Linked DNA regions of Ovis aries. Each later gene encodes a partner of the first gene's protein in a complex. Links are inferred from orthologs where the notes say so. Each region holds a gene or a part of one and is shown on either strand. Other genes may lie near its edges.

Evidence for each region. Proteins that work in one complex are often made in the same cells at the same time.
Region 2: UPF3B (region 1) and MAGOH share a complex: the UniProt entries of both Homo sapiens proteins name them as parts of the mRNA splicing-dependent exon junction complex. The link is inferred for Ovis aries from reciprocal best matches to the Homo sapiens genes UPF3B and MAGOH.

What each region holds. Positions count from the first base shown.
Region 1 is NC_056080.1:114,665,998-114,672,722, reverse strand, and holds the start of UPF3B (regulator of nonsense transcripts 3B), read right to left. Parts: upstream 3,568-6,725; 5' UTR 3,468-3,567; coding exon 3,312-3,467; intron 2,555-3,311; exon of another isoform or gene 2,505-2,554; intron 2,451-2,504; coding exon 2,344-2,450; intron 2,182-2,343; coding exon 2,075-2,181; intron 1-2,074. UniProt on the Homo sapiens protein: Involved in nonsense-mediated decay (NMD) of mRNAs containing premature stop codons by associating with the nuclear exon junction complex (EJC) and serving as link between the EJC core and NMD machinery.
Region 2 is NC_056054.1:27,766,363-27,772,662, forward strand, and holds the end of MAGOH (protein mago nashi homolog), read right to left. Parts: intron 5,639-6,300; coding exon 5,528-5,638; intron 3,312-5,527; coding exon 3,229-3,311; intron 2,133-3,228; coding exon 2,033-2,132; 3' UTR 1,892-2,032; downstream 1-1,891. UniProt on the Homo sapiens protein: Required for pre-mRNA splicing as component of the spliceosome. Plays a redundant role with MAGOHB as core component of the exon junction complex (EJC) and in the nonsense-mediated decay (NMD) pathway.

The DNA.
Region 1 (6,725 bases):
GTCAACTTAATAAGAATAGTGGTTCAAAGAGGCAGAATGTATTAACAGCTAGCTGTCAGAGGCTTGGGGCAGGGAGAAATGGGGAGTTGTTTAATGGGCAGAGTTTCAGTCTTACAAGATGAAGAAGTTCTAGAGATTAGCTGCAGAACAATGTGAATGTACTCAGCACTACTGAACTGCACACTTAAAAATGGTTAAGATGATAAATTTTATTTATGTGTATTTTACCATAATTTTTAATAATGTCAAAAACCAAAAAAAAGCAATGAGATAATGATACATACTATAACATGGATGAATCTTGAAAACATGCTAAGTAAAAGAGGTAGTCACAAAAGGCCATATATTATATGATTTAGTTCATATGAAATGTTCAGAATAAGGAAATCCATAGTTAGTAGATTAGCCGTTGCCAGGGGCTGGGGGAGAGGAGAATGGTAGATGACTGCTAATGAATACAGGATTCTTTTTGAAGTGATGAAAACATTCTGGAATTACCCAGTGGTGATAGTTATAAACCTCTGTGAATATACTAAAAACCACTGAATTTTATGGTATGAGTTATATCTCAATAATAATTTTTTAAAAACCTAAGTGACTACTGGAAAAATACATCAAATCCTTGCTATAGAATAATGTAATAGAAGGTATAAAATACCATCTTTACACCTTTGGTGTGTAAACATAAGCCAGGATAAATTACTAGAACTGACCATTAGATATCACAAAGCAGTCACAGAGGAAACAAGATTTTAGAAATCCTAGTGAGTGCAGAATCATATTACCTTAATAACTGATATACCTGAAAAGGAATAGATAAACCAGACCGAAGCAAAAGGAAATTGTGGAATATAGGCAAAAAAAAAAAAAATTAGAAGTGAGGCCAAACAATGGGAGATGACTGCTAATGAATACAGGATTCTTTCTGAAGTGATGAAAACATTTTGTCTACCTAAGGAATTTGGACTTTTTTCCCACAACTGCTGTCTTAAGTCACTATCTTCAAAAAGATTATTTTCATGGCAAAGTAAGACTAAATTATACAGAAAATGGAAAATTCTATAAGTTTAGAGAGAGTGGTTGTCTAAGCATTAGGTGATGAGGACATGTGAAAGTATCAGTAAGTCTAACGTCCTCAGTCTAGATGAACAAGATATTAAAAAGCAATAAATTGACAAAATCCATCACTTGTTTAAATGTAAGGGATAAAGAGAGGAAAAAGTTAAACACAACTCAGATTTTCAGGAAACCATTTGCTATCTACTGGAATAAATTTGTGGAGCAGAAAAGTAGCTGGTTTGGGGGGATTAATAAAAACTGGACAAACATAGAGGCAATTCTTCAACTTTTACTGGCATATTCCCTGACAAAGATTTCATTTTTTACCAACTCTGAAGTAATATTGAAAAAATATAATCTAACAAAAACACACATCATTCAATATTGCATAGCCAAAAGAAAAGTAGCAAACTTAGTAGCAAAAGTAGCCAGACTTGGACATTCTCTGGCTAAATGTTGCAAGCAACAAATAATAAAATGAGGGTTAATGCAGAAGTTTTTCTTCCCTATAAACTCCTGGATAGGAAGTGGGAAATCATCAAGCTCAGTGGTTTAATTACATACAACTTAGAATGTTAAACAGTACTCCAACTGGCAACTATTGACATAAAGGATCTGAATTAAATAAGTATTGGTCCTTGAAGCAAGATGAGAAGTAAATATTTAAAACTTGTCATACAAGTTTAAAGAGTCACTTGTCAGTATCACTTAAAACTAGTAAATACTCAAGACAACGGATCACCTAAAACAGGGCAAAAGAACTGTCACAGGAGGAGAAAACAGTGGCAATTTCCTTTGGTTGACAAACTAGAGAAATAATAGGTTAATACAAATACCTGTAAAACCTCATATTATCTATTTATAAGGCTGTCATAAGCTTATCAAATGCATAAAACTCTTTAAATGTTGCTCATCTTATCACTCAGGATTTCAGAAACACTATGAAGGCATCAAGAGAACAGGGATACACTGTCTTAAACAAATGACAAACTCCCCTTCAGTTAAAAGGACTCACCTTTATTGTCAAGGAATACATAACCATCAAAACGATCCCTGAACAAAATAATGTCCTCTTGGTTTTTAAAGTTGATGTATGCTCTTGCATACATATGAGGATACAAACTGCAGGAAGGAAAGCAATTATGTGAATGTGCTTGCAGGTGTCTGGCTGAATTACAAGTATGCATATATTAAAAAGGCTCAAAAATAAAATAGAAATCATGAGTAGGATTAAAAAAAAGAATGGAAGAAACCTTTTTCATTTACCCCTCCCTCTTATTTTACCTAGTATCATTAGAAAAAAACTCAAAATAATCATGCTCAGGCATAGGCTGAAGATGTTCCTGAAGCTGCTCCTTGGTCAAAGTGGGCGGTAATCTCCGAATTACCACCTTAAGAAATGAATAAGGAAAATAAAATTAGTACAAATCAATTTTCTGTCATACCTGAATCACTGTTCCTGAAGAAAGTTGGCCTTTAAAAGATGAGATCACTTCTAAAAACCCAAGAGAATGTTCAGAACGCTCAGAACGATTAGTCAAACGTTAACAGTAACATAGTTTAAAAAAAAAAAAAAAAAAAAACTCTCAGAAACGAGAACTGCCTGGAGCAAGGAAATCTTAGGTTCTGTTAACCCGAAGCCCCACGGTTTACTAGGTTTTCGCCTCATTTTCTGTCACCCATTTTTCAGTAGTGGTAAGAAATTTGTAAACCAACCCTGGTCTTTTGTGGGTGCCAGGAATTCTTGATTGATAAAGTCCTTATTCAGTCAGCATAAAGAATTCAAAATTCTAAGAAATACCCCCAATTCCCTCACTGCTCCCCGAACAGAATGTACCCGATTTGGCCCAAGACCATTAATAGCCGCCACCCACCCATTCCCTCAACTAACCTGTTAATATTCCTATCACGTACTACTCCCGCTGGTGATAGCACCTTTCTGTTTAATAATTCCCCCTCAATTCCTCATCCTTTTCGCTATCGCCCCCCCCTCCCATCATCATCTCACGGCTCTGACCTAAACCCTTCCAGTCAGGGAATCCCCCCGCCCTCCCTCACTCCCATCCCGGAGCTCTGCCGGGAAGGGAACCCCCATTTTGGGAGAGTGGATGAGACAGGGTGATGCGATTTTCACTCAAGTGAAGAAACAGAGGAAGAGATTGGGAGAGGAAGAGGGCAGCCCCATTCCCAACCATCTTTCTCGGGTGGTGGAACCGTCCCGCCCTCTCCTGGGCCAACAGCCGGCCAGACACCTTGCTCAACGCCTCTTTCTTCTCCTTGTTCCGATCCTGCTTATCTTCCCCTTTGGTGCTGTCTCCCGAAGCCCCACCGCCGCTGCCTGTAGCACCTGGAGGAGTCAAGAGGGTTACTCGCTTCTCCTTAGGCCTGTGCTCCTTCTCCTCCTTCATGGCCACAGCTTCGCTCCTCACCGCGGTAGCTCGGCCTAAACGCCGCTACGCCGGGCACCTACGCCTCCCGGCCCGCTCAGGGCAGAGCTCCGCCCCCAACAAGCTCTCCTAGTGATAAGCCGACCCCAACGCTCCATTGGGCCCCGGCAGGATCTCGCGAGACTTCAGGGCATCCGGCTTCCTTCGCTGGAAAGGTTGTAACACCTGGTCTTAGCTTCCCTCCCGCGGAATCCCCGCATCGCCCAATCCCCTCGCGGCCCAGACTCCCTCGGGGCCGCTCATTAGCATATCCGCCATCTTGGTTAGGACGAGTATTTCACGGACTACAAATCCCGGCATTCAAAGCGGTTACCCGCTTCTGGCTGAGTTCTGAAGTCGTAGTATTTCAGGTTCCCTGTTTATAAGTAAATGGAAAGTTTAATCTTGAAAGGTTAATGTTTTTCAGATCGAAAGATACACTCTAAAAAAAAAAAAGAAAGATACACTCTGTGGGCTTCGTTTTCCAGAGATAAAATCGATGTTATCCAAAGTTTACCTCACGAACGACTTGTATTTTCTATTATTGGTTGTAAAGTGAGCTTTCAGAACCTTTAGAATTTCTTTTCCTTATATTTTTTAGGATTCACAGACACTCAATGCACAAAACACTGACATTTAAAGGAGTATTATGACCAAAATGTGTGAGATTTGTTTTCACCGCTCTTTTTAAAAGTTAATAGGAATCTATCATGGTACTGATGCCCTGTAGGTAGGAGAAAATAAAATCCAACTCACTTTAGATAGGATTGACCTCCTTCCAGCTTTTAAAAAGGCCAGTTATGCATTATTTATAATATCTCCAAACTGGAACAACCCAAATGTCTGTCAATCCACTAATGCATAAACAAAATGTGGCACATCCATAGAATGAAATACTGCTGCTGCTGCTGCTAAGTCGCTTCAGTCGTGTCCGACTCTGTGCGACCCCATGGATGGCAGCCCACCAGGCTCCCCCGTCCCTGGGATTCTCCCGGCAAGAACACTGGAGTGGGTTGCCATTTCCTTCTCCAATGCATGAAAGTGAAAAGGGAAAGTGAAGTCACTCAGTGGTGTCTGACTCTTCCTGACCCCATGGACTGCCGCCCACCAGGCTCCTCCGTCCATGGGACTTTCCAGGCAAGAGTACTGGAGTGGGGTGCCATTGCCTTCTCTGGAATGAAATACTACTTAATTACAAATGAACCCATCCATCCATCCACATGAATGAATCTCAAAATGGTCATGCTGAGTGAAAGAAACAGAACACAAAGAGTACATGCTGTATGATCTCATTGATACGAAATTCCAGACAAGGTAAAACTAGTGAGAGAAAATTCTTAAAGAGATAGGAATACCAGACCACCTGACCTGCCTCTTGAGAAATCTGCATGCGGGTCAGGAAGCAACAATTAGAACTGGAATCGAACAACAGACTGGTTCCAAATTGGGAAAGGAGTAGTCAAAGCTGTATATTGTCACCTTGCTTATTTAACTTATATGAAAACTACATCATGAGAAACACTGGGCTGGATGAACCACAAGCTGGAATCAAGATTGCCGGGAGAAATATCAATAACCTCAGATATGCAGATGACACAACCCTTATGCCAGAAAGCAAAGAAAGAGCCTCTTGACTGATGAAAGTGAAAGAAGAGAGTGAAAAAGTTGGCTTAAAACTCAACATTTAGAAAACTAAGATCATGGCATCTGGTCCCATCACTTCATGGTAAATAGATGGGGAAACAATGGAAACAGTGACAGGCTTTATTTTGGGGGGCTCCAAAATCACTGCAGATGGTGACTACAGCCATGAAATTAAAAGACACTTGCTCCTTGGAAGAAAAGCTATGACCAACCTAGACAGCATATTAAAAAGCAGAGACATTACTTTGCCCACAAAGGTCCATCTAGTCAAGGCTATGTTTTTTCCAGTAGGCATGTGTGGATATGAGAGTTGGACTATACAGAAACCTGAGCTCTGAAGAATTGATGCTTTTGAACTGTGGTGTTGGAGAAGACTCTTGAGAGTCCCTTGGACTGCAAGGAGATCCAACCAGTCCATCCTAAAGGAGATCAGTCCTGAATACTCATTGGAAGAACTGATGCTGAAGCTGAAACTCCAATACTTTGGCCACCTGATGTGAAGAACTGACTCACTGGAAAAGACCCTGATGCTGGGAAAGATTGAAGGTGGGAGGAGACAGGGACGGCAGAGGATGAGATGGTTGGATGGTATTACCGACTCAATGGACATGAGTTTGAGTAAACTCTGGGAGTTGGTGATGGACAGGGAGGCCTGGTGTGCTGCAGTTCATGAGGTCGCAAAGAGTGGGACACGACTGACCAACTGAACTGAACTGAGTGAGAGAAGGGCTTCCCAGGTGGCGCTAGTGGTAAAGAACCCATCTGCCAATGCAGGAGATTGAAGAGATGGGGTTCAGTCCCGGGAAGATCCTCTGGAGGAGGACATGGCAACCCACTCCAGTATTCTTGCCTGGAGAATTCCTTGTACAGAGGAGCCTGGCAGGCTACAGTCCATGGGGTTTCAGAGTCCTGACTCGACCGAAGCCATTTTAGCATGCACACAAGCAGATCAGTGATAGCCAGGGGCAGGGTTGGGGAGAAGGGAGGGACTGCAGAGGGGCTTCAGGAAACATTTCGGAATAATAAAAAATATATTTTTTTATCATGACTGTGGTGGTGGTTGCATTTGTGTAAACTCATTGAATTGTACACAAAATTGCCAAATGTTATTTTATGTAAATTATTTTTCGAAGATCAGCCCCTGAAATGAAAAGAAATGCAAAATTTGAAAAATGTTGCTCTGCAAAAGTCCCAGAAGGCTCCTTAGGAGAACGGAATGGAAGACCCATGTGTCTCCTCCCAACCCAAGAAAAAGAAATCTTTTTGCATGGAGGAGCTAGTTAGTAGTGATCTTGAAGAGACAGCTGATGGTGGAAGTTGTTCCAAGAGGAAGAACTCTTTCCCCAAAGAGGAAGCAGTTAGTGACCCTGAGGAGTCAGGAAAGAAGAGAGTCCCCAAGATAAAGAGGAAATTCTCTTTCAAGGAGGAGCCACTCAACCATGGACCTGCTGCTCAGCAAGAGCAGCAGCTCCAAGAAAAAGCTCCAAAAAGCTATTGCAGGAAGATTATTAATAGAATGGTGAGGAATAATTTGCAGACCCCTATATCCCAATAACGGAGAAGGCAATGGCACCCCACTCCAGTACTCCTGCCTGG
Region 2 (6,300 bases), on another chromosome or scaffold:
CAACCTGTGCTTTTGTCCAGGGCTCCTCTGAGACCATACAGGAGCTGTAAGCATTACAAAGAACAGCCTGTTTGAGGCTTTTATAGCCTCCTGAGGTCTAGACTGTTTAAAATTTGGAGCGACTCTTTTGATGTCTACTTTGCCACAAACTTACCTGATTGCCGCCAGGTACCCTTCAATAGCAGAGGGTGCACTGCAGACAGAACCCCTACATCTCAGGTCCCAGATCGGCAGCTAACTTGCTGCCCTTTTTCCATTCCCCCCCCCGCCCCCCGTGATCTTTGGAGGAGGCAAAGTAGGGTGTGTGTGTGTGTGTATCTTTGGGACCCTGTGATCTTTTTTTCTCCCCGGTATTTATTTTTGGCTGTGCTGGGTCTTCATTGCTGCAGATGGGCTTTCTCTAGTTGCAGCAAACAGAAGCTAGTCTCTAGGACTCATTAGTTGTTGGCACATGCGCTTAGTTGCTCCGCAACATGTAGAAATCTTCCCAGATCAGAGATTTAACTCATGTCCCCTGCGGTGCCAGGTGCTAGACCACCAGGGAAGTCCTGGGACCCTGTGATCTTTGAAGGAGGCAAAGTAGGGGCATGTGTGTGTGTGTGAAGGAGGCAAAGTAGGGTGTGTGTATGAAGGAGGCAGAGTAGGGTGTGTGTGTCTGTGATCTTTGGAGTCAAAGTAGGGCATGTGTTGGGGAAACACTTGCTCAGGACTATTTGGGACCTGTCCCAAGTTGGCCACTGGAGAAATGTTGAGCTTAGCTTTATCACCTCCCCTCAATCAAATGAGATTTAGCAAGACGGTGCCCACTATCTGTTTAGTCAGCAGTTTGCCTAAGGAAGCCATGCAACCTAGTAGCAAGAAAAATTTCCTGCAGATCTACCTGCTGAACAAATCCCACTATCTATACCAACTAGGTGCTTCTTAAATGGCTGTTAGAATTCTGACTTTAAAATGAATTATTGGAAAGATTTTGAGACTAGCCACTTTAGAATATATTAAACCAAGTATACATCCCCATAGTGAAAGTTTCAGATGTATCTTTAAAAGTGATTTTTAAAACTCCAACTTCCAGCTTCCCTGGTGGCTCAGTGGTAAAGAATCCACCTGCTAATGCAGGAGACATGGGTTTGAACCCTGGTCTGGGGATCCAACATGCTGCAGAGCAACTAGGCCCATGCACCACCACTACTGAGCCTGTGCTCTAGAGCCCAGAAATCACAACTACTGAGCCCATGTGCCACAACTGCTAAGCCTGTGCCCTAGAGTTCATTCTCCACAAGAAAAACCAGCACAGTGAGAAGCCCAGCGATACAAGAGTAGCCCCTGCTCTCCACAACTACAGAAAAGCCCGAGCAGCAACGAAGACTAGCACAGCCAAAAATAAAAATAAGTGAAAAAACCAAAAAACCCTCCAACCTCAATTATACCTCAGTAAAGCTAGATGAAAAAAATCAAAATATCAACCATACCACTTTACTCCCTAAAAAATTAACATTTCATTAATACCAAATATGGAGTATTTAAATTTTCCTACTGATGGCAACTTTACATTTCCTGAATCATGATCCAAGCAGGGTTCGAACATTGTATTGATTATGTGATTATATGTCTCTCAAATCTTCTTTAACATTCCCACTCCATCTCCATTTATGTTTGCAGCTTATTTTTTTTTTAAGAAATCAGATCACTTATCCTGGAGTTTCCTCTGGTTACTGATTGGATTTCCAGTTATTTTTTAGCATGTTTCTCTAATCTTTTACTTCCTATAAACTGGTAGTTATATGTACAGAGTTGATTAGATTTTTGGCAATACTTCACATAAGAACCTAGTGTTAAAAAGTAATTTGAGACAAGTTCACATGTTCAGGTCTTTATAAAATTTAAAAAAAAATTGCTTTTTGTTATGTATTTATTAAAGACAATCATTTATAGTTTATAAAAAAAATACTGCCCTGATATACACAAAAATGTCTAGATAATGGTAATTAAAAGCAGCACTCCCACCCCCCTTGTGTCCACACCAATGTTCCATCTAGATTGGCTTAATCTTGAAGTGTAATCCAATAAGACTGAAGACCAAACACTTCAGGTCCTGGACAAGATAATAAAATACTCGTAAGCCTTCTGGATCCCTGTAATGCAAGAGGAAAAAGATGTTAAAAAAGCTGAAAAAACTCAGCAAAAATTACCATTTAATAACCCAGATTACTTACGTACCAGGATATTCCTCGTAAGAAGTATTTACAGAATTAAAACTTTGAAAACAACCAAATGTCCAAAAAGAAGAAAAATTCTATATACATTAAAATGGAATATTAAGAAGTAATTTAAAACATTAAGGTTTTTAAAGAAGGAAATGCTTATATTAAGTAGAAAAAAATCATGATTAAAGTAAGAGACTGTTGATCTCAATTCATTTTTTGTGCTTTAAAAGACTTTTTTAAAGCACAGGAAAAACACAGAAATACTTTAATATTAATGGTTATCTAACTGATAATTTTATGGGTGATTTTCACCTTTCTACATTTCTGTATTTCCTATATTTTCTACAGTAAGCACATATTACTTTCAGAATTAGGAAAACTTCCTTTTTAAGAGGTAGTGCTAAGCAGGACCAAGAGACTCACTCAACCTTACTATAGCATAAGTGGGTAAGAACAGGAGACTGTTCATAGGAAGACAACTATGCCCAACATGTACTGAAAGTGAACTATATCTAATCCCAAATCCTCAAAACACAAGAGACAAAGAGGCTGCCAAATTCTAATGATTCTGTGTATAGTGTATTCATGTCTCAATAATTTACCCTCGCAAAAACTAATTTTAAAATTTATATTCTAAATGATTTCAAGTTTCACTAAAGTCAGGCTTTAAGATGTGCAATCTGAATAACCAACACTGAGGAAGGTACCCAGACTCACTGATTTCATAGGTATTTCCAGCAGTTGCTTTTTGTTTTGGCCAGACTCTCCCACTTTGGCTGCCCCTATGGCATTACTCTGTGGGTGCATCACTGAGAAGCGCTCACTGACGACGACTGACTAAAACACCAAAAGCAAACAGAGCAAGCCCTTGAAGATAATCTGGGAGTCTCTCTATTGATGGGGACAAAGCTGGCCAGTTCTTAGATTTGTACCAGATTATTATCTTACCATAAGAGTCTCAATTTGATTATGGGTTTCATATCAGCATGCTCGAAAACAGACTATAAGGATCATGTGTACTTACTTGGATTGATTGACATCAATAAGGGAACCAATTTTTGATGTTGTGAAAGAAATGTGTTCGTCTCCAATGACAATTTCAAGCTCCTAGAAACATTGAAAGAAATATCAATCCGAATTGGTTTTCATCACACAAGAGAAGGGTTCATCATCTTCCAAATCACATGAACTCTAATACAGATGGCCACATTACCAAGACCAACCTGAGCCCTAGACTGTACTGGGTACTAGAAACAGATAAATGGTATGACCTAAATACTGGTTTAGTGCTTGAATAGCTTATACTTAGTTGTGTCTGTGAGGCTCCACATTTGGAAGAATTTACATTTGTGTTTCATATAGGAGTTTTCATTGTTAACAAGGTGGAGTAACATGTATAAATCTGTTTTACAAATACAAGAATCTAACATTTAAGGGCAACATTGGACAAGGAAAGGAATTCCAGACCTTGAGTTAATCCCAGCTTTTTCACTTACTAGTTGTATGCCCTTGGGCCTGAATTTCTAAAGAATGAAAGAAGTACCACAATCTTAAAAAGAAAAAAAAAATCTATTGGGCGGGGAATTGGGGGGGGTCTATGGGACAGATCAGCAAAACCAAAGATTTCTGCCCTTGTGGAACTTACAACCTATTGAGCTCTACTTCTTTTTAAAAAATAGTTATTTAATTTATTTGGCTGTGCTGGTCTTCATGCAGGATCTTTAGTTGAGGCATGTGGGATCTAGGTCCCTGAGCAGAGACCGAACCCGGGGCCCCCTGAATTGGGAGCATGGAGTGTTAGCCACTGGACCACAGGGGAAGTCCCCTGAGTTCTACTTCTTAACATTCAGACTTGAAATGTTAATATTTTGTACTTGTGTCAGTTTTTCAAGACAAATATTATAGTTTAGACCCACCTCCCACTCTATTCTCCTGCCTGCCCAGAAGTTGGAATGTATTTCCACTCATGGTTTTAGATTACATTGCAGTTTTTTGTTTTTAGCCACAGGGCATGGCTTGTGGGATCTCGGTAGTGAAAACGCCAAGTTCTAACCACTGATCACCAGGGAATCTCCATATTGAGTTAAAATTGGTTTGTTACATAAGTACAATATTCTATTTCTACTTCTGTATTATACTGGGCTAACCACCAAAAATTTAAGTTTCTGTCACCATACAGTTGATTCCCTTTACAAATTTTGTACACTCAGCCCCTTCCCTCTAATAACCACAACTCTGTTTTTTGTATCTATGTGGTTCCAGTTGGTTTGTTAATTTATTTTGGTTTTTGTTTATTTTCAACAAAGTTTTTATATGTAGATCAAGTTCATTATTTTTAGATGCTTGAGAATATTCATCATCACGCATAAGGGAAACCAAACAAGACAATTTCAGACAATGATGAATGCTATGAAGACAAAAGCCAGATCTTATTTAAGTGATAAGAAAAGGCATTTTAAATTAGATAGGCTCTTAAGACATCAGTGAAGAAGTGACATTTGAAGACCTCAATAATACAGACAGTCTCAGATAGAATGTTCCAGGCAATATGTAGCAGACACAAAGGTTCTAAACTGAAGAAGCACCTAGGTGAATCTGAGTAACAGAAATAAGACCAATGAGATTTAAATCCAGTGAGAGATGGCGAAAATGGTAGAAGGTAAGCTGGGAGTTCGGATTTTATTTTAAATGCAGTGGGAAGCCAGAGTTTAATATCAGTGGAATATATAAACAAATCTACATTTTAAAAGATTACTGTCACTCCAGGAAAGAAAAAATGGGCTCTACAGGACAAAAGAAGACACAGTGAAATCAATTAGAAGTTGGAAGGCAGCATTAAAGTAGAAAGAAGAATCTTTCCTATTAATTTGGTCAAATATGACAGTGGCTTTTATTTTTTAATTACCACAATGCTTGCAGAATAAATATCTAAGCCAGAAATTTACAGATAGACTTAGTTGCTGGCATGACTTTCCATTACATTGTTGACATGACTATGTTTTATTTATCTTGCTATCTTCACAGTGTTTTGTCCATAGTGGTTACTCAGTAAGAAACGTGGGTAGCAAATACTCTCAAGAAGCGGGAGGTGGACCAGAAGAAGAAATTCAGGGCTGGGCTCCAGGTGGTCCGCAGCTCCACCTGCTGTCCCTGGTCCTCCGTGTGGGCTTCGTGCCGCCTTAGACCAAGGTGCCAGTGACCTGCTCGGTGCAGGGCTCCAGAACACGCACACATACTGAGTACATTCAGTGTCATATGCAGAGCAGGAAGCTTTATCTTATTTGTAAGATTTCTGCACTGTGGGTAGCTGCTAAAACACTCACCTGCCGGCCCACTCGGTCAGGAGGAGGCCACAAAGCATCATCCTCTTTGGTAATTTCACTGTCATCAATTATTCTTTTCAGTTCCTCCATCACACTTTTATGTACATAAGCCTGAAAACAAGTTAAAAAACAGAATTTAAATTGTATCTCTAAGCAGCGTTCTGACTCAGATAGTGATGAAAGATTAAAAAAAAAAAAAAAAAGACTAATGAAGATTTATTTCTGGCACCTCTGTAAAAGTGAAGACATTCCAGCTTGACTTCAGCATGCTAAGAGGACGGCAGGGTCAGAAGAGCCCAATGACTACACCTCAATCCCACATCTAGTTGTTTGTTTCTTGGTATATCCTGTTCATATGGACCTACTCCTTACCTATTTGCACACCTGAGCCCCAAAGAAAGATCTGTGAGTAACTCAGGTTATTTTAAACTAAATGACATGCTTCTGAAGAGCAGACACGTCTTTTACATTTTACTTTTAAAAAAAAGTGAAGATGCTGACATGTATGGGTAAGCTTAATACTGATCGCTAATTAAATATTACAGTATGAAAATATACTATTAAGACATTTTCAAATGTGACAAAGCAATTAAAAGGAAAGAATGGCTTTAATGAAGTTCAATGGTGTGGCAGAAATCACACCAAACACGGACTTCACAAAGGCAGGCAGAGGTCTAAATTCCTGCTCAGTTTCTTACTAGGAAAAGTAACTTTGAACAAGCCCCATAATTGATATATAGGTCTTCAATGTCTTATCTGTAAAGGATATGTAA